Linked DNA regions of Oryctolagus cuniculus. The protein of the gene in region 2 interacts with the protein of the main gene of each other region in a pairwise test. Links are inferred from orthologs where the notes say so. Each region holds a gene or a part of one and is shown on either strand. Other genes may lie near its edges.

The links.
Region 1: the proteins of LZTS2 (region 2) and POLDIP3 interact in a two-hybrid assay, tested with the Homo sapiens proteins (2 studies listed by BioGRID). The two-hybrid records come from large-scale screens. The link is inferred for Oryctolagus cuniculus from reciprocal best matches to the Homo sapiens genes LZTS2 and POLDIP3.
Region 3: the proteins of LZTS2 (region 2) and KAT5 interact in binary tests that used the Homo sapiens proteins (3 or more experiments, as listed by UniProt). The two-hybrid records come from large-scale screens. The link is inferred for Oryctolagus cuniculus from reciprocal best matches to the Homo sapiens genes LZTS2 and KAT5.
Region 4: the proteins of LZTS2 (region 2) and SUV39H1 interact in binary tests that used the Homo sapiens proteins (3 or more experiments, as listed by UniProt). The two-hybrid records come from large-scale screens. The link is inferred for Oryctolagus cuniculus from reciprocal best matches to the Homo sapiens genes LZTS2 and SUV39H1.
Region 5: the proteins of LZTS2 (region 2) and STAC interact in binary tests that used the Homo sapiens proteins (3 or more experiments, as listed by UniProt). The two-hybrid records come from large-scale screens. The link is inferred for Oryctolagus cuniculus from reciprocal best matches to the Homo sapiens genes LZTS2 and STAC.
Region 6: the proteins of LZTS2 (region 2) and HOXB9 interact in binary tests that used the Homo sapiens proteins (3 or more experiments, as listed by UniProt). The two-hybrid records come from large-scale screens. The link is inferred for Oryctolagus cuniculus from reciprocal best matches to the Homo sapiens genes LZTS2 and HOXB9.
Region 7: the proteins of LZTS2 (region 2) and TNIP3 interact in binary tests that used the Homo sapiens proteins (3 or more experiments, as listed by UniProt). The two-hybrid records come from large-scale screens. The link is inferred for Oryctolagus cuniculus from reciprocal best matches to the Homo sapiens genes LZTS2 and TNIP3.

Annotation. Positions count from the first base shown.
Region 1 is NC_091442.1:118,371,710-118,374,645, forward strand, and holds part of POLDIP3 (polymerase delta-interacting protein 3), read right to left. Parts: intron 2,914-2,936; coding exon 2,734-2,913; intron 2,339-2,733; coding exon 2,261-2,338; intron 726-2,260; coding exon 596-725; intron 200-595; coding exon 133-199; intron 1-132. UniProt on the Homo sapiens protein: Is involved in regulation of translation. Is preferentially associated with CBC-bound spliced mRNA-protein complexes during the pioneer round of mRNA translation. Contributes to enhanced translational efficiency of spliced over nonspliced mRNAs.
Region 2 is NC_091446.1:28,872,964-28,877,006, reverse strand, and holds the start of LZTS2 (leucine zipper putative tumor suppressor 2), read left to right. Parts: upstream 1-1,243; 5' UTR 1,244-1,488; intron 1,489-1,626; exon of another isoform or gene 1,627-2,351; 5' UTR 2,352-2,421; coding exon 2,422-2,472; intron 2,473-4,043. UniProt on the Homo sapiens protein: Negative regulator of katanin-mediated microtubule severing and release from the centrosome. Required for central spindle formation and the completion of cytokinesis.
Region 3 is NC_091432.1:6,000,398-6,003,703, reverse strand, and holds the end of KAT5 (histone acetyltransferase KAT5), read left to right. Parts: intron 1-583; coding exon 584-724; intron 725-804; coding exon 805-898; intron 899-1,626; exon of another isoform or gene 1,627-1,920; coding exon 1,921-2,080; exon of another isoform or gene 2,081-2,157; coding exon 2,158-2,614; 3' UTR 2,615-2,806; downstream 2,807-3,306. Other genes in the region: RNASEH2C (ribonuclease H2 subunit C), read right to left, coding at 2,875-2,901, 3,006-3,125, 3,199-3,306. UniProt on the Homo sapiens protein: Catalytic subunit of the NuA4 histone acetyltransferase complex, a multiprotein complex involved in transcriptional activation of select genes principally by acetylation of nucleosomal histones H2A and H4.
Region 4 is NC_091453.1:33,884,486-33,888,419, forward strand, and holds the start of SUV39H1 (histone-lysine N-methyltransferase SUV39H1), read left to right. Parts: upstream 1-1,134; 5' UTR 1,135-1,440; coding exon 1,441-1,459; intron 1,460-3,465; coding exon 3,466-3,611; intron 3,612-3,934. UniProt on the Homo sapiens protein: Histone methyltransferase that specifically trimethylates 'Lys-9' of histone H3 using monomethylated H3 'Lys-9' as substrate. Also weakly methylates histone H1 (in vitro).
Region 5 is NC_091435.1:172,772,036-172,776,147, forward strand, and holds the start of STAC (SH3 and cysteine-rich domain-containing protein), read left to right. Parts: upstream 1-1,312; 5' UTR 1,313-1,600; coding exon 1,601-1,711; intron 1,712-2,278; exon of another isoform or gene 2,279-3,093; intron 3,094-4,112. UniProt on the Homo sapiens protein: Promotes expression of the ion channel CACNA1H at the cell membrane, and thereby contributes to the regulation of channel activity.
Region 6 is NC_091448.1:24,915,318-24,919,617, reverse strand, and holds the start of HOXB9 (homeobox protein Hox-B9), read left to right. Parts: upstream 1-1,500; 5' UTR 1,501-1,640; intron 1,641-1,802; exon of another isoform or gene 1,803-3,029; intron 3,030-4,300. UniProt on the Homo sapiens protein: Sequence-specific transcription factor which is part of a developmental regulatory system that provides cells with specific positional identities on the anterior-posterior axis.
Region 7 is NC_091439.1:44,137,664-44,141,936, forward strand, and holds the start of TNIP3 (TNFAIP3-interacting protein 3), read left to right. Parts: upstream 1-1,473; 5' UTR 1,474-1,475; coding exon 1,476-1,583; intron 1,584-4,273. UniProt on the Homo sapiens protein: Binds to zinc finger protein TNFAIP3 and inhibits NF-kappa-B activation induced by tumor necrosis factor, Toll-like receptor 4 (TLR4), interleukin-1 and 12-O-tetradecanoylphorbol-13-acetate.

The DNA.
Region 1 (2,936 bases), on a different chromosome or scaffold from region 2:
ACTCAAAGCTGCACCTAGACAGGAGAGGAATGGAACGGAAGATGGAGGCAGGTGTCTGTCCCCCATCAGGAGGCGGCGGCGAGCAGTGTGTGGGCAGAGCAGCTCTGCACCCCAGCCCCCTCTGGGACTTACAGCAGGATGGGCTGGTCCGACGTGATGACGTTCCCGTTCATGTGAAGGTTGCACTTCATTGGCTGCCCTGCAAAACCCAAGAAAGAAAAGGCTGTGCTCTGGGTCTCAGCTCCCCACACCAAGGACAGGGCTGCCAGACACGAAGGAGCTCCCAGGAGACACCCTCAGCAAGGACGGCGCCAGGAAGCAGAGTGGCAACACATCCTGCTTCTCAGCCAGTGGGAGACGGCAGCGGTGCCCTGCTCGCCTGTGAAGCCAGCAGTAAGAGAGCAGGTACAGGCGGAGCTGAGTGAGGACAGGCTGCCACGTTCAGACTTCTCTCCGTGAGGGGGGCCTGCTCAGGGCCTCACCCCCGGGATGAGAGATGTGATACACGTCACAGGAACAGCATAAGAGGGGAGCGGAGGAGCAGAGTCGGGGCCCTGTTGTGGCACAGCGAGCGAAGGCCGCTCCCTCATCGTACCGTCCAGACACCGGTTGTTGTACTTCTTATATGCGGTGATAGCATCGTCCTTCTTCACAAAGACCACCTCTGCGACCCCAGGATGGACCAGCCGAGCCCGCTTGAGGGCTCCACACACACAGAAAAGCTCCTGTAAGCAACAAGAGGGGATGGGGTCGGGAGGTCATTCCTGACGGCCTGTCACTCGCACCCTCAACACAGGACTGGCTGAGGGGCAAGTCGCACTAGCAGGGGAGGGCGGTCCGGGTGTCCGTGTCACCACCTCCTCCAGAGCGTCACAGTCACAGCCTTTCTCCCAGAGCTGTCACGGGAGAGGGCAGGCAGGCTCACACAACAGTCAGTGCGTCACCTGAGTCTGGGGTTCTACCCAGCACGACCACAGTCTTGTGCGGCCAGAGATCTCCCAGGACAAGGAAGCTGACGCAGGGATGAATGAGGCCGACCAGCACTCAGGTCACCTCTTCACCTGCGACTGCCTACTCCAGGCTGTCATCAGGACCAGCGCGGCTCCCGCAGGTCCTTGAACAACTTGTTTTTAACCAAAGGAAACACGTTTATATCAAGACTGAAATGTCAGGTGTGAGCCGTTTTCCTGCTGTTACCTCACCGACGCCTGACTGGGTAGAGCAGGAGGCAGAGCGAGTGCTCCTGGCACGTTCCCGAGTGGGGGTGCTTCCAGGCGCTCAGTTTCTCGCCACGAAGCATTTTCCAAGACCCTGTACGCCACGTGCCTGGCTAGTACTTCTGCAATCGGGAACGTGTTTAATTTTCTATCATTTGTCGAGCATCAGGCAAGCAGGCGAGCTTTCCCTTCCCGCACGGACTGTTCACCGCACCGCCAGAGCAGGGGAGCCCAGGCAGCTCGGCGCCAACTTCACGGTGAAGACCACTGACCACCGTGGTGCGCAGCAGGGCCCGTTCCAGAGCCAGCCAGCCAGCTGCATGGCCAGCTGCAGTCCTTTCGTGATCTCACAGTTCAAAGTGCGCCTGGATGGCTAAACGAGTGGTTTTGGGGGTGTCTGCATGCGAACGAGCTTTCAAAGGAAGCTTTCATTCACCAGGCACCTGCCAGGTTCTGCCGTGACTGCAACAACAGGACAGGCAAGACAGAAGGGCAATTCAAAGGGGTCAATCGGCAGGTCCTACCCAACCCTCTTACTCCTTTTACATGATGGTGTCATCAAGGAAACCCCCGAAGAGGCAGGAAGTTCGAGTCTCAAGAGAGGCATCAAGCACTAGGTGCTGCCCAGCAGAACTGAAGGGCCCACTGAGGACCCACCAGACAGACGTCCCCTGTCCCGGACACCCCGCCAGGAAACCGGCCCGGGCGTGGACACTGCACAGGAGTGACCAGAGCCAGCCTGCCTGCTTCCAAGAACTGGGTCAACAGTCCAGCTTCTGGCGAACACCTGCCTTCCTTCTGGGAGGCGGGACTGTCACAGGCTGGCTGCTGGGGGAGCAGCTACGCCGAGGACTCGGGGGCTTGCGCCTGGTCTCCCCCAGCAACACCCACAGCCTTCCTCGTGCTGAGTGGTAAGTCTCAGCTGTGACACAACTACGTGCCGAGTCCTGGGAGACCCAGCAAACCCTGAAACCTGGGCTGGCCCCGGGACCTCTGTCCTAGAACTGATGGGAGCCTAGACACTGGCAGGCCGTGGTACTTACGACGATGTCCTCCTCGGTGACTCGGGGGTGCAGGTTGTTGACCGTCATCTTGGTGCCTTCCAAAGGGCTAAGCACAGGCTGCCACACAGACGACAGGGTCAGCAGAAGCCAGAGCAGGCGGCCTCTCACACAGCAGCACTCGGACTGCGCCCTGAGACCCCGGCACCCCTCACACGCCCACCACCCTGGGCCCTGGCCTCTGGCAGGAATGCTCCTCTGGCCTCCAGACCCTGCACTCACACTGGCTTCCCCCTCCCCCTCCCCCTGCCCCTCCCCAGGCGCTGCGGCGGGAGGAAGCGCTCTCTCCTGGGAACCCCTGTGCTAACAGAGCCGGCGGCTCCTCCCTGCTGGCCCCGCTAGCCCGCAAGCTCTTTTAGGGCAGGGCCCAGGTCTTGAGAATGCGAGGAGCCTGGGCTCACACGGCACACTGACCCAGCACAGGCTCTCGGGTGGGGTGGCCACCTTCAGCTCACCTCAGCAGGCGGCAGCTCTTTGGGGGGCTCCTCCTTGTTCACCAGCGTGCGGGACACGCTGGTCAAGGCTTTGGTTCGCACAGAGGAGGGGAGAGCGGGGGCGGTATATGCGTCATTCTGCACCACTTTGGTGAGAGGGAGGGCCTTGGACACCGAGAACTTGGAACTGCTCAGCCCAGCCTAGACAAACGGGCAGAAAGGAA
Region 2 (4,043 bases):
GTGAGCCTGAGGTTGGCTGGGCTATGTTTCCCTTTCCAGGGAAAAAGAAAGAAAAACAACCCATCGAGCTAAAAATAGAGCTGAGCGCCGGCCAGGGCTGTGGCCTGGAAGGGGGGGATGCTCCTTCCTGGGGCAGAGCCCAGCTCTGGCTGGCCTTGGCCCTGCGGGGGAGGGCTGCCGTCTGGGCGAGGGAGGCCGTCCTCGCCAAGGCCAGCGGGCATCAGCTGACCTGGCCAGGTCACAGAGACCCCTAAGGAAAGGTCTGTGTGATAGAGTGCATGCAAAACACGGTGTGCAGTATGAGAAGCTGTTTGTGAGTACTGCGAGGCTGTCAGCATGTGAAAGATGCTGGGAGGTGCGAGGGCCTGCGAGTTGTTGTGAAAGACTTAATGCACAACCGGTGTGACGCGGGGCTGCGCGGGAGCTGGCCTGGGAGTGCATGGAAGGAGGCCTGGGGGACCACGTGACGGATGAAGCTCTGCGATTGCGGCTGCCCGAGACTGAATGTGGGAAAGGTCGTGTGGGTGTTAAGATGTTGTTTCCAAGAGGGTGAGCATATGCGTGACCCTGAGGAGACCGTGGAATGTTGTCTGGTGGGAAGCTGGTGTAGGCTTGGGCTGTGCCTTTCCACTGGGGAGGCCAGAAGCCGCCCTTCCCCGGGCAATGACCCTTCTCTTAGCCAGCGACTCCAAGGGAAAGTTGGGGAGTCCAGAGCCGCGCCAAGGGCAGGCCTGGGCTGGCGTCCACGGGCACGGGCTGTGGAGTGGGAGAAGACCCCCCTGGGTCGGGGGGCGAGTAGATGTGCTCTGAGAACCGACCGCCAGGTGGCGCCGCCTCCGCAGATCCTCGTGTACCGCCTCCAGCCCGCTGTGGGGTGGGCCAGGCAGGGACCTGGCCGCGGCCCCCGACTAGTGCTGGGGCGCAGGGCCCCGGCAGCCGAGGAGCGGCGGGCAGCTGACCCTCGGCTTCCCGCTCTGGACTCTGAAGCTGGAGAGTGTCTGGGGCGGGCTTCGATTAGAGAAGCGAGGGGGAGGGGCCGCCGCGCCGCGCCTTGGCCCTTTGTGCTCGAACAATGACCAGCTGCCGCTGGCCCCGGGGCCCGGCTCTGGTAGGGGGTGACCCGCCCGCCGAATCCACAGCCGACCGAGCCGTCCGACACGCAGTCACCGAGACTCGGCGGGAGGGGTCCCGCTCGCCGCCGCGCAGCCCCTGCGTGCGCCCCAGCAGACACGCGTGACGTGGGGTGCCTGCGCGTGTCCGCGCCCCGGGGCGGGGACGCCCCTCGGACCCCTCCCCCGCGCCGCCCCGCGCCGCGCCGCCCACTCGGGCCGGGAGGGGACTGGCCCGGGCCGGGTGCGCCGCCGAGGCGGAGGCGGGGCCCGGCCGGGTCGGGCCGCTCCGAGTGGCCGCGCGCGGGCCGGAGCCGGGCGGCGCGCCTGTGGAGCGCTTGGGGCGGCCCGGGGCTGAGCATGGAGCAGCGCGGCGGAGGTGAGGGGGAGGCCGGGGCCGGGAGGAGACCCGGGGTCGCCCCCAACTTCTGTGCGGCGGCGTCGGGAGGGGAGGCGGCGTTCGGCGGCCGCCGTGCTGGTGGGGGGGGGGGGTCGTCGGCTGAGTGGGGGTGGGCGGGGGGAGGGGTCCCGGCTTCCTGCCTCGGAATGGGAACTCGGATCCCAGACTTGAGCCTGCGTGACTGTTCTTGGAGTTGAGGTGGGAGGGCGACTTTCCCGAACTCCTCAGCCCCCAAAACAGGTCTGCGCGAGCTCGGAGCGCGGCCAGAGCCGTCGCTGGCCCTGGCTGAGCCCCAGCCCTCAGCCCTCCGTCCTGCCCACCGCGGCGATTACTCGGGAGAGCGAGGGGTTCCCTTTGCCCACAGCCACGGCGCATTTCTCAAAATGGAGCCTCGGCTTGCCCCTCCTTCTCAGTCGGGCTCTGAGAGCGGGAGTCCTACTGGCTGGGCCTGGCTGGCCGGCTTTCGTCGCTCTGGGTCTGGGGGGCCTTGGCCTCTTGCGGTTCCGGGGCCTGGCGCCATGGGCCGGCCTGCCTGGCTTCCTTGGCCGCCTGACCCCCGCGCCTCCCTGAGCCTTTGTCTCGGCCTTTGGCTCTTTCTCCGAGTGGGCCCATCGCCTTCCTTCAGTTTTCACTTTTCTCTGTGCTCCCTGAAGAGGAGAAATGCGGACAGAAATGCCAGCCCGCATGGCCCCCTTAGCAGCCCCTTCCCCCGTCCTGTCCGTGCCTTACGTGGCCCTGCAGAGGGAGGAGGAGGCTCCCGGGTGCCCGCGTTGCCCAGGGCTGGAGCTTGGGGTGCTGTCAGGCCCCAGCCCTGCAGCCAGGCCCACCATTGCTCCCAGCAGCTCCTCCGGCAGTCTGGACTGACACCGACCTGGTTCTTGGTGTCTTTTCACTTGGGTAGAGAGGAAAGGGATGAACTCGATGGAACACAAGCAAGAAAGAAGGGGAACAGCTCGGACAAAGGTGGTTCCCCCTCTCCCCACACTCCAGAGTGAAAACTGGCGGGTTCCCTCGCACTCCCCGGTGCCCGACATGCCTGCCCTCAGAGCCTTCTCTGTGGGTAACCCGGCTCTGGCCGGCCTGCTGTGCACACACAGGAGTTCGCGGGGGGGAACCCATGTCCTGGGTTCCTCTTCAGCATCTCAGCACACTCACCTGTTACCTGTGCATTTACTACTCCTGCGTACTTGCATGGTGACCCTTAATTACACACGCATACGTGTGAGGTTCACACGTTAGTTCACACCTAGACGGGTGTATGTATTGAACATGTCCAAACACACACTCATGTTTTCACACGCATTATTCCTGGCACGCAGTGCTCACTCTGCTGCCCCTGGGCATAAAGGCGGCCATGAAGACCTGTACACGCACACATTCCTACTCCCAGGAAGTTTTCTGTCCGCCTCCTTGGCCTGCACGTTCTGCATGATGATTTCGGCAGATGCCAGAGCCCTGGTGCTCTGCGGCCTCGGGACCGGAGGGAGTTCCCCAGGGAGGCTTGCTCTCCCCTTCCAGGAAGGAGCAGAGCCCGGGGAGGTGGTGAGGTCTTGGAGCAGCTGCCAGAAGTGATGGTGGGGCTTCCGCCTCCATCGGGGTTTCTCTGGAGATGGCGGAAGCTGGAAGCTTCTGATAGAGGTTGGAGTCGGGCAGCGCCCATGAAGGCTCCTTTAGGCCCCATGTCACACCCTGACTGGGTATGGAGAGGGTAGGGGTTGTCATAGAAACAAGCAAGTGCCTGCATCACCTCCAGGAGGCAGGTGTGTGTGCCCTGAGAGCTGTGGACTGCCTGTTTGGCCAGCTCCACCCTTGCCGCCTCTCTGTCTGGGAGAAACTGAGGCCCAATAGGGGGAGGTGGGGCGCTGCTTGGCCTTGGCTCTTTGTTCCCTAATTATTGTCTGAGTTGCTGGTGGTGTCCTTGAGGTTGTCGCTGCCCAAACTGCCCTGTAACGAGGCCACCTGTCCCAGGAGACTGGGGACCTGGGCCAGGTGCTGGGAGAGAGGGCTTCTTGCCTAACCTGAGTCCTGGTCTCCGTGGGGCTGCAGGTCTGGGTCTGGGCCTCCACTGCCAGGTGGCCCTGTGCAGGCTTCCGATCCCTTCATCTCTGCCTGGTGGCCCTGTGCAGACCAGGGAGCAGTGGTCTGGGGCCCAGAGAGAAATGAGATTCGTGCCAGTACTTGGAAGAGGAGCCTTGGGGGGGGGGGGGGGTCAGGGCGTTGTTACTCATGTCAGGAAGGCGTTTGGCCTGGATCAGGGGACAGCACAGGGACTCAAGGCCTTGTATAGGGAGAGGGTATAGGATGCTGGGATTCTTTTTGTTTTGTTTTGTTTTGACAGGCAGAGTGGACAGTGAGAGAGAGACAGAGAGAAAGGTCTTCCCTTGCCGTTGGTTTACCCTCCAATGGCCACCACGGCCGGCGCACTGCGCCTATCCGAAGGCAGGAGCCAGGTGCTTCTCCTGGTCTCCCATGGGGTGCAGGGCCCAAGCACTTGGGCCATCCTCCACTGCACTCCCAGGCCACAGCAGAGAGCT
Region 3 (3,306 bases), on a different chromosome or scaffold from region 2:
TAAGGCTAACTTGAGACTGGAGCGCGAGGGGGGGCGGCCCTGGCCTGCGTGCAGGGAGTTTGAGAGGCGGCAGCTGCCTACGCACCCCTCCGCGTGAAGTGTGGACTGGGCACCCGCGTGGCAGTGCGCAGGTGAGGAGCCAGGGGTGAGGTTTCTCCAGGAGTTGTGTGCAGAGGCAGTCCCCTGAGGGTGGGGGCCCTGCTGGTCCTCGGTGAAGAGGCAGAGCCCCGCCCTCCCTCGGGGAGCGGCAGGTGCAGCCGTGGGGTGAGTGGAGAGCTGGGTCTGCTGACAGCGACTCCCAGCACTGCCACACAGGGGCTCCCTCGTGTCCTGGCCGGAGACACTTCCTGCGTTCCAAACTGTACGCTGGTGTCCAGCACAGCAGGGCCAGGGAGCCGCCCCGGGCCCTGCTGAGACGGAGAAGGGGCGGGCAGCGGGGCAGACCCTCCGTCCCCAGGGAGGTAGCTGGACGCTGTCACAGCGCGCGGGCCCCAGGCAGGGACGACCCCACCCGCTGGCCTGGCCCAGGGGCCCTCTCGGGTGGCACCACCAGTGGGAACGGGCTCTCCCTCTCCCCCCGCAGAGTTACTCCCAGAACCTGTGTCTGCTGGCCAAGTGCTTCCTGGACCACAAGACGCTGTACTACGACACAGACCCCTTCCTCTTCTACGTCATGACGGAGTACGACTGCAAGGGCTTCCACATCGTGGGCTACTTCTCCAAGGTCAGCGCCTGCCCGCTGTCCCCGGGGGGCCCTGGGGTGGGCGCAGACCCTGCCCTCACGCTCGCCCACCCCTCCTGCAGGAAAAGGAGTCCACGGAAGACTACAACGTGGCCTGCATCCTCACCCTGCCCCCGTACCAGCGCCGGGGCTACGGCAAGCTGCTGATTGAGTTCAGTGAGTATGTGGCCGCCCCGCCCAGGGCCCGTGCACTGCCGCTGGTGCCTCAGGCCACACGCCCACGGCTGTCCCCCACTGTGCAGCTCAGCCAAGGGGGTCGGCCAGGAACCAAGCTGGGGTTCGCCGAGGTCTCACACTCCAGGGTGACTGCTCCCACCCCATCTTGGCCAGGGCCCCAAACCTCAGCCCACTCTCCCAGATCTGGCTGACCTGCTGCTGCCCACGGCTGTGGCATGAACCCGCACAGCTGAGCAGGAACCCAAGGGTGCCCACCCCCTCCGTGGTCCTTGCAGGCACAGCAGGTCAGGGTGGACGCTGGGACTGGCCAGTGTGCAGCAGGGGCAGGAGAGCAGACAAGCGCGACCGGCCCAGGGCCTTGCCCCTCGGGGTCTGGTGGGGCCAAAGGGGCTTGCGAGGAGCTAACTTCTCGTGGTCAGCTGGAGGAGGGCAGGGGCAGGGAGGCCTCTCTCCAGCTGGGAAGCGCTTGGTGAAGCTCCTTCCTCACCACCACGCAGCCCGCTCCATCCCAGAGCAGCTGGCGAGCCCGAGGTCCCAGCCAGAATGTGACGGACAGAGGGCGGGGTCTGCCCTGCCTCCCTCTGCACCCACACAGCAACGGCCAAGGACATGGGCACCCCCCCAGCCTCGGCTGACTGCAGGTGCCCCCCCCAGCACCCAGGCCAAGGGCGAGCGCCTTCAGGTGGTGGGCAGAGAAGCCACGTGGCTCTAATTCTTAAATGCTTTTCATTTTATTTGAAAGGCAGAGACAGGTCTGGTCAGGGGTTCACTCCCCAGTTGCCCACAGCAGGCAGGGCCGGGCCAGGCTGAAGCCAGCAGCCTGGAGCTCCGCAGGGCCCCACTGGGCGGCAGGGCCCCAGGTCCCTGGTCCGCCTGCACTGCCAGGCTGCAGGTTAGCGGGTGGAGCAGTGGGCGTCCGGCCCGGCCCCCTGCTGCAGGATGTGCCCGCTGCGATGCCACTGTCTGACCGCTTACCCACCTCTCCTGCTCCCCTGCTCCAGGCTATGAGCTCTCCAAGGTGGAAGGGAGAACGGGGACCCCAGAGAAGCCCCTGTCGGACCTGGGCCTGCTGTCCTATCGCAGTTACTGGTCCCAGACCATCCTGGAGATCCTGATGGGGCTCAAGTCCGAGAGTGGGGAGCGGCCGCAGATCACCATCAAGTGAGCCGGCCGCCCCCGGGGGTGCGTGGCTGTCCCCGCCCCGGGCCGCGGGAGACCTGACCTTTGCCCTCCCGCAGTGAGATCAGCGAGATCACCAGCATCAAGAAGGAGGACGTCATCTCCACGCTGCAGTACCTCAACCTCATCAACTACTACAAGGTGGGGCGGGCGGCCAGGGCCGGGCAGTCGGGAAGCCGGTGCGGGCCGGGCGCTGACCCCTGCCGGGCCCTCTCTCGCCCAGGGCCAGTACATCCTCACGCTGTCCGAGGACATCGTGGACGGACACGAGCGGGCAATGCTGAAGCGGCTGCTGCGCATCGACTCCAAGTGTCTGCACTTCACCCCCAAGGACTGGAGCAAGCGGGGGAAGTGGTGACCGGGCCTCCGGGCGCGGGGCCGGCGAGCACGGGACCCGGCGCCCCCAGCAGGCACAGCGCGCGAGGCGCGCAGGGCAGCGCCAGACGGGGCTGGGCCCGCAGGGGCCACGGGTCAGTGCCCAGGCCCGCCGAGGGCTCGGGTCAGCGCCCAGGCTGAGCTGGCTGCGGGCCCGGCCTGCCCTGACCAGGGACCAGGAGGAGCCGGGCGGCTTGTGCAGTGCGCAGGGGCTGGGGGCAACTGTACAGGACACTTTCACTGTAAAAATGGCTTTTGTAAAGTAGAAGGTGGGGGTGGGGTGGCCCTGGCTGCGGCCCCCGCACCAGGCAATAAATCGTTTCCGTAGGCGGAGCCTCCAGGGTTCTGCACAGCTGCGGTGCGGGGCGTACTGGTCGGCAGGTGGGGACGGGCTCCGGCTCTCAGTCCTCCGCCACCTGAGCGTGAATCTGCAAGAGGAGCCGCCTGTAACCGTGCGGGGGCCCGGCCGCCCCCACTGACCCCGTCCGGCGTGGGGGGCCCCGCGCCGCAGCGACCCCGCCCGTGCACTCACCGCGGCCGCGAGGCTCGGCCAAGTCAGGGCCCCGCGCACTTTGGCGTCCGGGCCCGGCACGGTCTCCAGGCCCCACAGCGTGAAGCGGCCGAAGCTGGCGGTGGCGCCCAGAAAGCGGTCCTGGGGAGGGAGGGAGGGAGGCGGCTCAGCCCGGCCCCGCCGCCGCGCCCGCCCCGGGCCCGCCGTGGCTCACCAAGTCCCGCTCCAGCGGCGCCCGCTCCGCGTCCCCGGACCCCGGCCGCCCGTCTGCCTTCTCGGCCGCCAGGACGTAGCCCGCGAAGCCGGCCGGCACCGCCACCTC
Region 4 (3,934 bases), on a different chromosome or scaffold from region 2:
CTGTTCTAGAATAGGGCTAGGGGACTGAGGTAGGACTTAGCTAAGCCCTTGACTGTTGAATTCGTGGCAGGCAGGGTAGAATGCCAGACAGGTTAGCCATGTTCCAGCCAGCTCACAGCTGGCCTGGTAGGCAGATGGAATATCTGTTGAATTAACTGCATGACTGTTTGGTGCACTATGTAACACGGGGACTAAGAGGGAGAGGAGCCACAGGAATCAGGCCTGGCCTGAGGGAATGGAGATACCAGATCTGCCACCAACGGTCCACCTCCACTGAATCACGGCACACTCAAGGGCCTGGCTCCATGCTCTGCTGGCTGACCTGTCACCCTCTAGATGCTGAGATCAGTGGGCTACTGACTACGATGAGAGGCAGGTGGAATGGGTCACAGGGCAGCTGGCCAGCAGCAAGACCGACATAGCTGCTTGCCTCGATGGTTCTATGTGGTTATGGACCGTGCGCCCTAACAGGATGCCAGCCTCTCCCAGGGGTCCAGAGAAGCAGAGGGCAGTGACAGGTTTGAAGGACCCATGGTCCGTTGCCTGAGGCTGAGATGAGTCGCCGGGGAAAGGCCAGGCTGGCTGAGCCAATGACAGGTGGCATGGAAACATAATTGTCCCTCTAGTTGCTATGGCTCTGCTCTGGGGCCTAGCTGGGTGGTGTGCGTGGGGTGTAACCAACGGCAGCTTGTCCTGACCTAATCACAGCCTGCCTGCCTGCCTGCCTGAGGCCAAGGCTGGATGCTGGAGCTGATGAGAGGATCTACCTAGGAGCTGGTCCCTGGGCAAGGGCTGCTTGACTGGCCCGCGCCATTGCATTGCGGGGACCGTCTGCGGGAAGGGCAGCCTCGCTAACAGCTGGGTGCCTGCCTCCAGGGAGTCGCAGCTGGCCCAAGGCACAAATGGATGCTGCCATTGACTGACAGAGCATGTGAAGGAGGCGGGGCCTGGCGAGACACCTGCCTGGGGAGACTGACCCATCGCCTATTTGAATAGGACAACTGACTGGGCAGCTGTCCGTGGCGCTGCTCCACGCTGGGTCACGGCCTGCTTGGGGTTAAAATGTGGTGACGGACTGACTGACGGAGGTAATTGGGGGTCTGACAGGACGGAGAATCCCCCGTACGACTGGCTGACAACGTGATTGGCTACCAGCGTGACAGACAGACCGGCGAACGGGCAGGGCCTCGGGCACCCTCAGCTACCGCTACCGCCGCCGCCGCCGCCGCCCAGACGCACTCTGGGAAAGCGCGGCGAGCACCCGCCTCCGGGACCGAGCCGGGTGGCGGGGAGGGGTCCGGTCACGGCTCGCCGGTTGGTCCTCGCCGGTGCTGCTCGCGGGGAGGCGCGGCCAATAGGCTGCGCGTTCCCGGCCACGCCCGCGCGAGCTCTCTTCTCGCGAGGCCGGCTAGGCCCGAATGTCGTTAGCCGTGGGGAAAGATGGCGGAAAATTTAAAAGGTGAAGCAGTGGCGGCAGAGGCGCGGGTTCGCTGGCCGGGCCGGGTGGGCTGGAGGGGTGGCGTCGCGGGCTCGGGGTCCTGGCGTCCAAGGCCACGGAGCCCGGAGCCGGAAACCCGGCGCAGAAAGGAAGGGGCTCGGGGAGCGCGGGCCTGGTGCGCGGGGCTGGGCGGGGCTGAGGGGAGGGGGCGCGCTCCTCGGAACGCGGTGGCCGCGGGGCTAAGTGGGGACGCGGGAGAGGGGCGCGCGCGTTGCAGATCACGACCGGAGCGGCGCGCGCACGCGCAGGGGCTTGTCGGGGAGGCCTCGCCCGCGCGCGGGAAAACCGGCCCCCGGTGACCGTTACCCCTACGGTGTCCACGCGAGACGCCGGAAGGGGAGGGAAAAGAAGCGGGGACGGACCCCCAAGGGGGCTCTTCAAGAGAGAGGGTTCCTCCAGCTGAGGGGAATAGGAGCTTCCCTCTTGGGAGAGCCGGACTCCCCCATGTGCAAGGAAAGCGGGGTGACCATGTTGGGGGAGCTCCTCTATGTGCGGACAGCTGCGAGGAGTGTGCGTTCCACAAGTGGGAGGGGGACCTCTGCGAGGCAGGAGAGCCCAGTTGTGGTCCGCGCCTGAGCCCGTGGCAGGAGGTGTTAACAGGGACCACTTGCGAGGGTTGGAGGGGGGGCGGATTTCACGTGTATGCGAGGGGATTGCATCGCAAGGAGAGGAAAGCGTGGGCCCAGGCTTAGAGTCTCCACTAGGCCTTGCCTAGGGGGTGGGGGGAGCCCACGGAATAATTACGAAAAGCTCTTGTACATTTCTAGATTGACATCTAGGCTATTTCGTCATAAGTTTAAATAGGCTGGAGTTTTGTAATGGCAGGCAGGTAGCAAATATTAGACAGTTTTGAAAGACGAAGTGGGGACGTGGAGTTGAAGTGCTCTGTGACATGCTTTGATAAAATGGCTTCTAAAGCATATTAATTAAGAAGGTGCCTTGCATCAGAAAGAAGGATACATTGTTTTTAAAAATCCGTCTTGAATGATCTTGGTAGCCCCAGAAAGATTCCAGGTATGTTTCAAAGAATGGATGTCACTAACCTATATTGCTTTGCCTGTTGCTGACTTCAGAGCGGTTTCACCTTTCACAGAAATGTGATTGAGACAGAAAGTCAGAATGCAGTGTGGAAGAAACAAACTTTGTAGGTTTAAAGTCCCCAGACTAACCATTCAAGGAAGCTTCCTGTAACATAGTATCATTCCACAGTCCTGTAGTCATCATTCCAAAATCTGAGTGCTGAAAGCTTTTTCTTAAATTTGGCACCATTCATGGCAAAAGGAGATTGATTATAAGGTCGGACTGTCCAGTGAGGTTACCTTATCTTACATCTTTATTTCAACTACTTAATGTGAACCTTTGCACTTTTGCTACAGAGCGATCAGTGCACTTGATTATGGCTTGATGTGCCTGTCCAGGCTGGGAGTGTTTGCACATGGACAGGACATACCTAGAGCTACACTTCTAAAATCCAAAAAAATGCTGAATTCTAAAACTCATCCAGCCCAGGAGCTTCAGATAAGGGGTTGAGGACCAGTCTTTCCAGTTATGCCTTTGTTTGGTGCCCTGGAGGTTTTAATCCCCTCCCCTCCCCACCCCCTCCCTGGGCAATGCACCCTACTGAGATGGGGGGGGTTGTCCCTTTCTTTTGCAAAGTGGAAAGAAAGGTGATCCAGAACCTAGGTTGTTTTAGGACTGGTGTAGAGGGAGTCTGAAGGTCTGGGAAGATTCCTTTAGGCCAATCCCTATAGCAAATGGCACTTGGCGGCACTTTGAAGTTCACTGCCCCAGGGGTAGCCTTGGGCAGTAAGCACTGAGGTTCCCTGGAGTGGCTGTTGCAGAATTTTCCACTTTGGGGAAGACCTGTGGGGTCAATTTCACTACGTCTGGGGTAGCCCAGAGAGGATTTGGAGCCCCTGGCCAGGTCAGGCTGCCCAGTAATGATTCTTTCCGCCTTGTCGTTCCAGGCTGCAGTGTGTGTTGCAAGTCTTCTTGGAATCAACTGCAGGACCTGTGCCGCCTGGCCAAGCTCTCCTGTCCTGCCCTTGGCATCTCTAAGAGGAACCTCTATGATTTTGAAGTCGAGTACCTGTGTGATTACAAGAAGATCCGCGTGAGTCTGCAGTGACCGGGCCCTAGGGGAAGGGGGTAGATCTTGGGAAGTTGGCTTCCTACTGGGTCATGTTCCCGCCACCCCCCCCAATCTGTGCCTAAAAGGGAAATTTCTCTTCTGATCCTGAAAAACTAGGATGAGTAGCCTCTCTCCCCTCCCCATTTTACAGGTAGGAAAACTAAGTGGCTTTCTGAGGGGGCAGAAGCCAGAATGAATCCCCAAGTAAATGTCTCATGCCACGTCCCTAGGAAGGTAAACCAATCGCGGAGACTGAGATGCTAAGCCCAGGAGTGAGCTGGTGATAGCTAATGGTCACTGGGCAC
Region 5 (4,112 bases), on a different chromosome or scaffold from region 2:
GAGAAACTTGATTAATACTCTTGAGTGTTTGTCACCAGACCCAAGTACCAGAACAGATTTAATCTATGCTGCACATTAGTCTCCAGCACACCGTCTCACAAAGAATCAGATGCTTGATAAAGATATGTGGATATTACTGCTCCTGTCATCACACGCTCTGATCACCACCGTTTGTCTCTGTTTAGCAGTGCTGTGACCACTTGGGGTAGCCAATCTCGCCCGGTTAAATGAGAGGCTAAGAGTCAGCATGGAATTTAGAGTACTCCGGGAGACAAACGCCCAGTAAGAGGCTGCCACTTAGAAGAGCAGCTCTTGGTTCCTGTCTGGGACTGAGAGAGTAGTCAGTTCTTTCCAAAGACACAAGCCAGGGCAGGCGTGCAGGACCAGACACACTCCGCAGAGCCCAGCGCAAAATAAAAATGCAGCTCCCTGTTGGAATGAATTAGAGAATTTCAAGATGGTATCATCTGAGTCATGAACCCAGGGCAGGACTGTGTCACTGCACAGGTTGCACACCCCTGAGGCTGGCACCTACAGTTAACCAAGAAAATCTAAACATTAGCTTGCGATTTGCTGTTAGAAAACGAAGGCGGGAGTTTTGTTGTATTAATGGGGGGGGGGGGCTAATTATCCTGCTGTACTTCCTTCTCTTACACACAGAGGCTGTGTCTTGACAGGAAACCGCCCCTCTGTACCCGTATCCAGTGGGCCTGTCCCTGTGTCTCCAGATTTCCTAAGTGTGGATATGAAGGAAAATCCCAACTCCACCAATTGCAGTTTAGCGACATAGCAAATCCCTTAGCCTCCCTAAAACTTCGGTTTCCTCACCTAAAAAGCAGAGGTGATACTACCCACCCCAGACAGTAAGTAGCTGTGGTACTGATGCTTCAATAAGGCAAGAACATGTGCCAATGCACAGCGCGCCCCGGAGCAGGTGTCCACGCAGGGTCAGAGCTGAGCCGGGGAACCCCGCTCAGCCCCTGCGCCGTCACTGAACCCTATAAATAGCTCCGCTAAGTCACCATCTCGCTCGCTCACTCACTCCGAGGCGAGGGCTGAGCCGGCTGCTGCAGGTGGTCCCTCCTGCTCGCATCATTGATGGCTTTTCTATTCATGGGCGTCTGCCTCTGAATTGCCTGCCATCCCAGCGGAAGAGACACCCCCCGGCCGGAGCCAGCGCGCGCCCAGCCTCGGCGCAGAGTCCCGGGGTGGGGGGGTGCGCCCCGCCTGCCCTCGCCACTCCCGCGGTGGCCGCGCGGCCCCGCCCCGGAGCCGCCCCCTGCCGCCCCCTCCCTGGGCGGGCGAGCCCCAGGCCGCTCGCCCGCCCGCCCGCCCGCCGCTGGCTGGGTGGCAGTCACGACAGAGCGCGGTCGCCGGCGAGGTGGGCGCGGGCGCGGCGGGGAGCGCGGGAGCGCCCAGGACGTGGGCAGGGCCCCGGGCGGGGGCGCGGCCGGAGGAGGGCACGTCGGCGCCTCGGCGAGGATGGGAGTCCCCGGCACCCGCGGCTGAGCGAGCGGGCGGGCGCGCGGCGGGCAGTGCGCACGAGGAGGGCGAGCCTGCTGTTCCCCCGGGAGCCCAACACCGTTCCCGCGCGGCCACGATGATCCCTCCGAGCGGCGCCCGCGAGGACGGCGTGGACGGGCTGCCCAAGGAGCCGGCGAGCGCCCAGCAGCCGCCCTCTCCCGCGTCCACCAGCAGCCAGGAATCCAAGGTACCGCGCACACTTGCCCCGAAAGAACCCAAACTCACTCTCCCCTCCCTCTCCCCAGCCACCTTAGCCTCCTCCGACCCGGCGCGGGCGTCCGGGCTCAGACAGGTCCCTAGTTGGGCCGGGGCTGCAGGACCTGAGACCTGCACAGGGCTCCCTGTGAACCACCCCGGACCGCATCCCCGGGGCCCCCAGCCTCCTGGCGCGCGCAGACCGGAGCCGAGCACACGCAGCAGCTCCCGTTGACTCCGGGTGCACAGATCCATTTCTTGGGGGTTTCGGGGGATTCTGTGCTTTGAACCTGCTTGTAGCCAAAGCGTGTGTAGGTGGGTGTTAGGCGGTGGCTCCTGGAGGCTAAGGGGTGGAGACGGCCGAGGGTACTGGGCCAGCCAAGGGTGTCGGAATCCCAAGGGGCTCGGAACAGGACTCATCCCTAACATCCCTAACTTTCGTTGCTGCTGGTTTCAAAAAAAAAAAAAAAAAAAAAAAAAAAACTAGGCAGAAGGAAGTAGTGCGTTCTCGAGAAAGTTGATGTTCCTTGTGGAAGTTGATAGGACTCCAAGAACTCACCCTTGCACGGCAGTGAAGGCTAACACATGCGCACGACACCAACCCTGCCGCAGTCCTTCTCTGTCACTATTCTGCTTCCTCTGAAGCTCGCTGGGTGCCAGGCACATGTTTGGAAATCTTGGAAGAGGATCAAGTAAAATGTGGCTGCTCGCGGTGTGGTGCCGAATGACAACTCAGCCTGGAGTGGAAATCGTAAGATGGAGCTGGCCGGTTACGGGCAGCGTCGGGAGTGCCGGGCTGCTGGCCGGGGGAGGACAGGTTGCTCTGCACTGTGAGGCAGTCTCCGAGGAGCAGAAAAGGCAAGGTGGATGGCAGTGTAGAGCGCAGGTCACTAGGGGCAAGGAAAGGCCAGCGGTGTCTCCAGGTCCTGCAGCCTCAGTGGCTCTGCGAGGCCGTGTGATGCTGACTTGGTTCCCTGCATCCCCTGAAGTTACTCAGCCACAGTAAGCCGACTCGGAAAGCATTGCATTTTTTTAAATTTCTTCTTTTTCTGGCTATTACTGGCTGTCTGACTCCAGGACATGTGTATGTCAGATTTCCCCAAACTCAGTTGCAAATGAGGACAGAAGCCCCCAGCTTCCAGAATCCTCGTGAGGAACAGGTGAGATGAGCCCGTGTCCATCCATCAGTGTGTATCCTTTTCCTTCTGATGCCAGGAGATGCAATCCACTCCAAAGCAGTGGCACCACCCTCACGGGCACACCCTTTCTTGCTTCTGGAAGTTTCTAGGTGTCTCAGTGTCTACCGTGGAGCACCCGTCAGTCCCTGAAGTGATGTGAGTTGTAGTGGCCATTGCAAAGGTGGTCTGCAAAGAACTCAAGGGTGAAAGTGGTGTTAGACTTTTTGAACTGGGACTGTCGCTCAGCAGTAGGTGTGTTCTGAAAAGGGCTTAGCATTTGGGTAGCAGCGGCATGGTTCAGACACCCCGCATGAGTCTGCTATTTATAGATGTCCTGAGGTACAGTATTTGGCAAAGCAAACGCCTCCTATGTAATGCCCATAATGAGCCACCAGTTTATCCGAATTGTGGTGTTGGATATGCGCAGGCCAGTGTTTTCTCCACGTGGTCTACACAACTCCTGTATAGTTTACACATTCCTAAATTTGCTGTCATGGCTTTGATATTAGTGTAGATGAGCTACGGGGGGCACATGAGCCCCAGGAAATGGAATGCAAAATCGTGCGCCTGGATGTGAATTTTTCTTGGCTGAGCATTCAAGATATTCTCAGAGGGAGCCATGCCTCTCGAGAGAGGCTTACATGCTGTGTGGCAGAAGGTGCAGGGTGGTATGCAACAGGGGGCAGAGGAAGGCTCTATTCGTTCTGTGCGAGGAAGGCCATGTTTTGAAGCTTGGTGGCATTTATGAAGATCCAGGTGAGGAAATGTGAACAAGAGAGTGGTCATCATTCCAGCCTCCTCTCCTGGCAAATGGCCATGTTTGTCAAAGTACATACCCTTCAAGATAACCGCAAGTGAATTCTGAATGTGTCACCACAAAAAATGGCAAGTGAGTGATGGGATGGCTATGTTAATTAGCCCAAATTATTTAATCATTCTACATTGTACACCTATATCAAAACATAAATGTGATTTAATTATGATTTGCCAGTTAAAGGGACAGGCATCATTCACGCCCTACTGGGCATTAAACTTTCTCAATGTTTTTTAATTTCTTACTTTCTTTAGAAATTTTTCCTTGTGTAGATAACACTTTGTAGATATTTGAAAAGTCCAGATGACAATGAAAAAATTATAGCGTTTTGATATAGAACTCATGTATGTTTTCCTCCACACTTACGTTTACATAGTTGGGAGAACCACAGTGAGCACCTG
Region 6 (4,300 bases), on a different chromosome or scaffold from region 2:
GAGTGAACCAGCAGATGGAGGACCTCTCTCCCTCTCTCTCTGTGTAGCTCTTTCAAATAAATAAATCCTTTAAAAAATAAGTAAACAAATAAGTATACTTAAAAGGTGTAAAACAGACTCACTCACAGAAGCAAAATTTGATTTTCTCCTATTTCTGTATTCACATGGAGAGACCTTTCTCTAGCGGCTCAAACTCAGCAGAACTTACAAAAGGGAGGATGTTACAGAAGCCAAGCATAGATCCCTCAGTCTGCTCCCATTCTACAGAGGAAAACAACAAAAACCCCAGACCTAAAGGGCAGAAGGTGTGGAGGCCAGGGTCCACAGTGAGCTCGAGGCGGAACCAGGCCCAGAGCACAGATCTCAATGCTACCCGCTGGGGACAATCTCTTGCAGGAAGGCACCGGATTCTGAGCAGGCCCCCAGGTCCACGCTACAGAGGTGGGGCAGGCGGGTAGCTCCTGGCCAGCGGGAAGTCCTGTTGCTGGGACTCCGGCTACCTGTCACAGCTGCACGATTGTAGGTGCGCTGGCACCTCGGTTCGGGTCTCAGGAGAAAGAGAGGGAAGAGCCGGCGATGTGGATTCCACTCCAGGAACTCGAAGGGCCAACACGCAAAGAGGCCCCAGGGCCGAGGTGGAAAGTGGAACCTCCTAGCCTTCTTTTGACCTTGACCAAGGTCGTTCCCTCTGGCCTCCTTGGTCCGGTTCGTTCCATAGGGAAGAACCCCGTTTCGGGCTCAGGGAAATGAAGAGAGAAGGCAGGTAGATGGGCAGTCTGCAGCCTGGGGCCGTCCTCCGGCCAGGAATGGTCCCCAGCAGGGAGCCGCCGTGGAGGGCGGGAAGCCGCGGGGCTGCAGCCTGAGGGGGGGGTGGGGAGGGACGGAGGAGGGTCCCGCGCTCTCGGCCTCCTGGTTCCCCTCCCTCCCCTTCTCAGGTTCCTCTGGCCTCGCCCCTCCCTCTCGCATTCCCAACTCCCAAGGACAACTTGTCGCTCGCCTCAGACGCCCGCCAGGGGCTTGTACCGGTGCCCCAGACTCTGCTGGCTCCCCGGCTTCTTTTGTCTATTTCTGCATTGGACGGTTCTCCTGGCTCCGCGTTCCGTGGTTCTGCTTCTCATCTCTCTCTCTCTCTTTCTCTCTCTCTCTCTCTCTCTCTCTCTCACACACACACACACACACACACACCCTTCTCTCTCCCGCCCACCTCGGCGCGTTCCTCCTCGGCTCTGGCCTTGCCCAAGCGCGCAAGGCCCACCCTCGGAATCGCCTGCCCGCCCTCCGGCGCGGTGATCCGACGGCGCCCGGGGCGGGGGCAGGTGAGGTGGCGGGGAGCCCCGCCCGGGCCGACGCGGAGGACCGAAGCGGCCGCGCCAATCCGCCGCCCAGGCCCTGTCCTCGCCCCCTCCCCGCGCCGGCGCCAGGGGGACGCAGGACGCGTGAGCCCCTTCGCGCCCCCAGCGCCGTCGGCGGCGCCGCCCTAGACGCAGACACTGCCCCAAGAGGCCTCAAAGGGGCAGGGGCGGGAGGAGCGGCGACTTCGAGCCCCCACGCCCCTCGCCCCGGGCGCCGCCACCTCCGTCTCCAGGCGCCTGGGTTCCTGCAGGCTGTGAAGAAGCGCGGAGGACGCGCGGTTGGCAGAGGTAGGTGAGGCGCTCCCCGCCCTTCCCCTCCCCGCTGCGGGCCGCGACCACGCAGATCCGAGCTGTGACCCGCCCCTCTCCAAGCCGGGCAGCCTCGTGGCCTCGCCTTTGAGGACGGAACGGCCGTGGCGGCCGTGGGCTACCTGGGGTCACCAGCCTAACCTTGAGCTCCAGGCCGACTGAGCTGCGCGGGTGGCGCCCGCCTTGGCCTTCTTGGCCGCCTGCGCGTCGCGGGCCCCGACTGTTCAAGCGAAGGTGTGCACGGGGGAAGGGAGTCGCCTCCTCTCCGTCCGCCCGCTACTGTAGCTCCCTAGAGGCCGGTGCTGAGTGCTCCGCCCAACCTCAGGCCCTCTCCGCCCGGTCCTTTCGCTCACAACCCCGGATCCAAGCGAGTGTAGCCTGGGAGACGGGAGGTGGGGATCGCTCTTTCCCGATAGAATGTGGAAATTGGCTGGAACTCTGGGCCCAGAGGGAGCCAGCCCCCAGGTCCCCACGGTGCAGAATCTGCTCAGAGAGAGGAGAGAAGAATGCTTGGGGGAAATATTTTGCTTTGGATTTTTAGGGCGACACGGGGCCTTAGCTTTCCTTCCCCTCGGACTGGGAGGGGCTCCGGTGGCCTCCTTCCTGGCAGAGCCTTTATCAGGGTGTGACGGGGTGCCAGGCGCCGCCATCTTAACTGGAAATCCAGGCTCACAGAGGCGCTGCCTGTGCATTTATGTAGCCGGGCCTGTTGTTGCGAGGCAGGGAAAGGAACTCAACCTGGTTGCCGGGACTCACGGGTCCCAAAGAGTGGGCACCGGGCCTGGGGGTGTTGTGAGGGCTCTGAGAAATTAGAAATCTGCAGAAATCTGCCCATGAAGAATCCTTTAGGACAGCGACTGGGACTGGGAGTGGCTAAGCACCTTGTCATGATGGTGGATTCTTACAGACATGCGAAAGAGACGTGGCATGCTGTGCTCCCGAGTGTGCCGTGGTGACGGTGGCAGGCAGGAAACCCCCGTTTTCCTCCGTGTGTCACCTCCTCTTCCCGCAGACTGGGGCACCGCGCAGTCCGCATACCCCGCATACCATGGAGGTGGCCGCGCCTGGAACAGGGCTGTGCCTCCCAGGATAAACAGAAGCACAAAGACAGGCCGGGTCCCGGGTGAGAGGGCTGCTCCCGGGCCTTTGGAGGAAGTCCGGGGACAGTGTGCTAGGAGCTGCCCTCCACACGGCCCTTCTAGGGCTGCAGCTCCTCCCTTTCCCCAGAATCTGCAGCACTGGGCTCCAAGTCCAGAGAGGCCTCTTCACGAAGGGGTCAAGTCTCCCCCATGCCCAGCCATCCCGTCTTCTGCTCCCTGCAAGACTTAGAGCCCCCAGCATAGGCGCAGCACGCACAGCGCCCTGGAAGGAACTCAGGGAACAGCTCTGCTGCCCACCCCCCCCCCCCCAGGCAGGAGGAGCAGGGAGAGCTCACCGGCCCTTAGAGAGGAGCCGGGACCCCCTCCCCCCACCTCAGATCATGGTCAGCTCTACCTCACCACCACAAAGGCACTGACCTCGGAGGGCGGTGGGAGCAGCCAGTGGGCTGGGAACACCTCCTGCTCTAAACTTCTCTCCCTGGCCACATTGAAACCCACATCAGGCTTCAGGAGCTGTTGGGTTAGCAAGAGAACTTGGTTACTTTAATCTCCTTCACCCTCTGCACACACAGAAAGAAAGAAAATCCGGACTCTTCTGGGCATGGTGGTGGGGGGGTGTCTTGTGGCAGCTCCAGCTGCAGTCTGTGGTACTGGCGGGGATCTGGGACCAGCACCCACAGCTGCACTGGCTACCACCAAGGCATCAGAGTAGGCTTAGCGGTGAATCGATGCCACAGCCCTTGGTTCACCCCTAAGATCCAGTGGCACCCACTTCCTCAAAAGGAGCTCAAGATGTGAGGTTTCTGTAGTTTTCAAAATGGGGGAAGAAACAATTGCTGCAGTGTTTGGAGTGGTTAGTATGGAGAAGTCTGTATTTGGGCCAGGAGCCCTGGGCGTACAGGGAAAGAGATCCTGAGTGGTTGGGACAAGTCTGGCCACTCGTGAACGTTGGCCTGTGGCAGGCTTGGTTTTGGCCCTGCAAAGTGGGGAAGGTTGGATTCTTCACCTGTTGGGGATGAGACCAGGGCACTGGAGGTCTACTCCTATCTCCTGCCTGTCTGCTCCCAAGGGCTCCAGAACCCTCTCTGTACCGAAACAATCAGGAACAGTTGGAAGAAAGGGAAAAAGCTGGAAGCATCCAGAATTGGATGCCTCCTGAACGCAATAGGGAAAAACCTATCTCCTTGGCCACTGTGCAAGTTCTAAGTTCCCACTCAGTTTGGCAACGTGCAGCAGGCAGAGTCTCAGAGCTCCCTGGAACCACAGCCCAGTGTCCCCCCCCCCCAAGCTGGCCAGAAGGACGAGGGCCTCACTTCTTCCCCCTGCCTCCCCTTGGCTGCCTTCCGCTTGCTGTGAAAGCCCGCAATGTCAGACTCCTTGAGCCTCAGGTTAGGACGCCTTCTCAAGTGGACAGGTGAGAGGAGTTTGTGAGACTGAGCACGGTCAGCCAGTGCAGGTCTTCACCGCTTTCTCCCTGCAGGGCTCTCTTAGTGCTTGCCAGGTCAGGGCCTCACCCCTGCCCTTAAAGCAAAGGGCCCA
Region 7 (4,273 bases), on a different chromosome or scaffold from region 2:
CTACACCGAGCTTCACTCTGTACCAAATGCAGGAGCCCACAACCCCTATAATGTCTCTTCCCCCTTGGGTTGCACCTCAGGGGGATGCCTGCTGAACCATTCCCCTAATGGTACAGAGGGAGCAGTTCTGAGGTTAAACATCAGCACTTGTCCAAATGAAAAGGCAAGAGTAACTCTTGGCCTCTATACACATTCCCCACTGAAGTAAACCAGAATCATCACTGCACGTGGTTATTGCTGTGCAAATTCAGTGCCTTGTAATAACGGATACTCAGTGAGTTATTGCGTAAGGAAGAACACATTCACTCATAATTCAGGTAGAGAAGAACAAGACAGCCAGGAGAGCAGTAGCAATAGAGATCAAGTGCCCATTCTGAAGCTGCTGCTATTAGTGTTCCTTGCTTAAAGATTTATGCTACAGTTTCATCAGTCTTATGGGCTTGAGGGGTTTTGCATACATTTTAGAAACACATGTAACTTAATGGTTAGGTGTTTTGAGTTAAAACTCATCATGGAACCACATTTATTTATTTATTTTAAAGGAGAAAGCACATTTTATTTTCTTTTTTTAAAGGTTTTATTTATTTATTTGAGAGGTAGAGTTACAGACAGTGAGAGGGAGAGACAGAGAGAAAGGTCTTCCGTCCGTTGGTTCACTCCCCAAATGACTGCAATGGCTGCAGCTGTGCCGATCCGAAGCCAGGAGCCAGGTGCTTCTTCCTGTTCGCTCATGCAGGTGCAGGGGCCCAAGCATTGAGCCATCTTCTACTGCCTTCCCAGGCCATAGCAGAGAGCTGGATTGGAAGAGGAGCAACTGGGACTAGAACCGGTGCCCTTATGGAAAGCTGGTGCCGCAGGCAAAGGATTAACCCACTGTGCCATGGTGCTGGCCCTCTTTTCTTTTCAAGATTTACTTATTTATTTGTAAGAGTTACAGAGAGAGTGAGAGGTCCTGCATCTACTGGTTCACTCCTCAAATGGCCACAATGGCTGGTGCTGAGCCGATCCAAAGCCAGGAGCCAGGAGCTTCCTCCGAGTCTCTCATGTGGGTTCAGGAGCCCAAGCAAGTGAAATTATAAAAATTTAGAAATGACTCTTTGAACTAGACACTAATACTAAAATATTTGAGGCGGCCTCCTTGCTAAATTGTAACAGATGATTATAGAGACAATACTTTCAGACTAAGAGTTCAAGATGAGGGGGACAAAATGAAAGGAAATTCAGCAATACTGGCTTGTCATGGTTATCCAGCTGTGAAAATCTCTATTGTTGTCTGTTTTTCACTTTGTGCCAGTGAGTGCTTTTATGGTATGGGCTAAATGAAACAAATTGTGGTCTGAGTTTGGGAGATTCTAGAGAAGGATCCTGCATGAATAACACCTCCATGTTATTCATAAAGTTGCTGTACCCTGGAATGATTTTTCATTGCCTTTGTAAACTGTAACTTTCCCATTCTCCTGGACAGATGTGAAAGCATGGAGCTGGACAATGAAATCCGGGACCTGATTGAGAGAAGTGCTCCTGATCCAAAAGGGGTCACCCCAGAGGCCACGCCTCATCACAGAAACCCATGTTCTCCCAAGGTAAGGAAACCCGGCCTGTGTATTTTGTGTGATATGTTCTGCAGCCATCTGTTCACCAGGAACTTACGGGGACAGTCCCCACATCATTTACAGTCATTCATGTACTTCCTTGACGACGGAGAGGATCAAGTGAAGCAGAATAAAACTCCTCTCAACAGTCACTTCCTGTTGCCAAAGAAAGCCTCTGGCAGAAGAAGCTTTCCAGTCTGCCATGGCAGGCAGCTGTGGCCACAAAGGCCATAGGAAAAAAAATGCTCCACGCAGTGACAACTCTTTCGGACGGGGTGACCAAATTTAAGCAAATCCATTTAAATTGGGTTACCCAAACCAGCACAACTCATGTCCATGCTTTTTTGGAGTCATTGTTTCTGTTTTGTTTTGAAAGAAAAAAAAAAGCTTTACTGATTAAAGGAGTTGTTTGAATTTCCTCTTGTTTCGGGGTATTTGTCTATGGTGGTTTTATGTAAGCAAATAAAATTCAAGGGGAAGCTTGAGGAAGAAATTTTGTGGATACAAAATGCATCTTTCTAGAAATGTATCAAAAATGACAAAATGAACTCTTAAGCTCTGTAATTCTCCCAGTTAGAAACCATTTTTCATGATCTTTACAAAACATCTGATGAGAGTTTATTTGAGAGCATGGCTGACATTAACAATTACTTACTCCTTCTCTTTAAAATGCCATTAGTTCTTTCTAAGGTAACCATGTTCATTGTATGAAATATGTATACATAAATACAGACAAAATATAAAAATCATATAGAGAAGGATTTACTGTGGAGATAATTGAACTTGGGCTCCCCTAAATAAATAATTACCCTTATAATTAAGTTACATCCATAAACTTGTATCTTTTTCTTGTAAAGGAGGCCCCATAATTGTATAAACATCAGCACTCACTAAACATAGATCTGTCTCAGAAATCCCCAGATGTGCCACTTCTAGAGAGCATCTCTAACACTTGGGTGTCTTCCTGTGTTTTCCTTACACACACACCTGTTTATTCAAATACCTTTTCTTTTTTCAGTTTAATAATACACTGTGGATACTCCCATACCTCTGTCTGTCATTCATGTAGTGGATAATCAGTATTGTATGCCTTCTTAGACCTTTAGATAGTTTTCCTGTCTAAAAACTCATTTCTGCCTTAAAATGCTATTATGTTTTATTTTTTTCTTTAAACTTACAAATCAACATCTGCTAATGGCTAGGACTTCAAAGGCTTCTTCCTCTCCTTTCCTCCATCTCCTCTCACCCCAAACTCCATGGTATCTACCTCTAATTCACAACTGGAATTCTTTACTTCATCAAATGTGTGCTTTCTCCAGTGGGCTTCCTATCCAATGCCACAAAGAAATTCATGGTGATAATTTTATTCCTTCTAGTATCGTTATGCTCATAGTCTCTGGTTATCTCCTGAGTCTTATTTGCTCATGACTGAACTTCCTTACAAGTCTTTCACTCAGTCTTGAGAATCCTTCCTGACATGATAAAAGCATGCTTACTTATACATACTTATCACCATCCTCTTGGTATTAATCAGTTTTGTTACTCTGGGAACTTCACTGAAACGCATCTTCCTCTAAGATGCTTCTACTCCTATTACCTCATTTGTGAAGGTTGTCCATTCTCCTACCTCCACATTTCCAGGTAAAAAGCAGCAGAATCTTAGCTGGCATTCTCAGTTTTCCTGGTGAACTCTAAGGTAAAAGCTTCTACAGAGGGTAAGAGGTAAGGAAAGTTGGAAACACATAGAATGTCATTGGAAACAGAAGAGATAAATAAAACTAAAATGAGTTGTGCTGAGTAGTAGTGAGGGCCACATTTGAAACCATCCCTTATGACAAAACCACTTGCTGAACAACATCGGGGTTCCTATATCTTTAAAGTCTTCATCACCTCTCTCCATCTTAAAATACACTCAATTCTCCTCTACTTTTCAACAGATATTATGAGACCCCATAGTACTTTAAGAGTAATATTATAACTCACTTTTGCATATCATAGCTCAGCTTATTGGACACAGCAACCAAGATTTTCCCTAACCCATCACACCACTAATAACCTCTACTTTGAACAATTGAATAATCACTCTGCATCTTATTTTTCCCTTGTCCACTCATTTGTATCTGATGCTATCCACTAATTCATCTTTCTTAAAATGTCTTTCTCAACTGACATCTATAATTTTAACCCCTGAAATCCCCACACACATATATATCATTTTTTCCTCTGTTCTCTCCTTCTCACTCACCCTCACTGGCTTTCCTTATATCACCTGTTGTGTTACATTAGTTTTGTTGACAAATCTGTCTATAGCCCTTGAATTATTTTTTTAAAGATTTATTTCTTTATTTGAAAGTCAGAGTTATACAGAGAGAGGAGGAGAGGCAGAAAGAAAGAGAAAGAGAAAGAGAAAGAGAAAGAGAAAGAGAAAGAGAAAGAGAAAGAGAAAGAGAAAGAGAAAGAGAAAGAGAAAGAGAAAGAGAGAAGTCTTCCATCCTCTGGTTCACTCCCCAATTGGCCACAACAGCCAGAGCTGCACAGATCCGAAGCCAGGAGCCAGGAGCTTCCTCCAGGTCTCCCACGTGGGTTCAGGGGCCCAGGGACTTGGGCCATCTTCTACTGTTTTCTGAGGCCATATCAGAGAGCTAGATTGGAAGTGGAGCAGCCAGGACTTGAACTGGCAC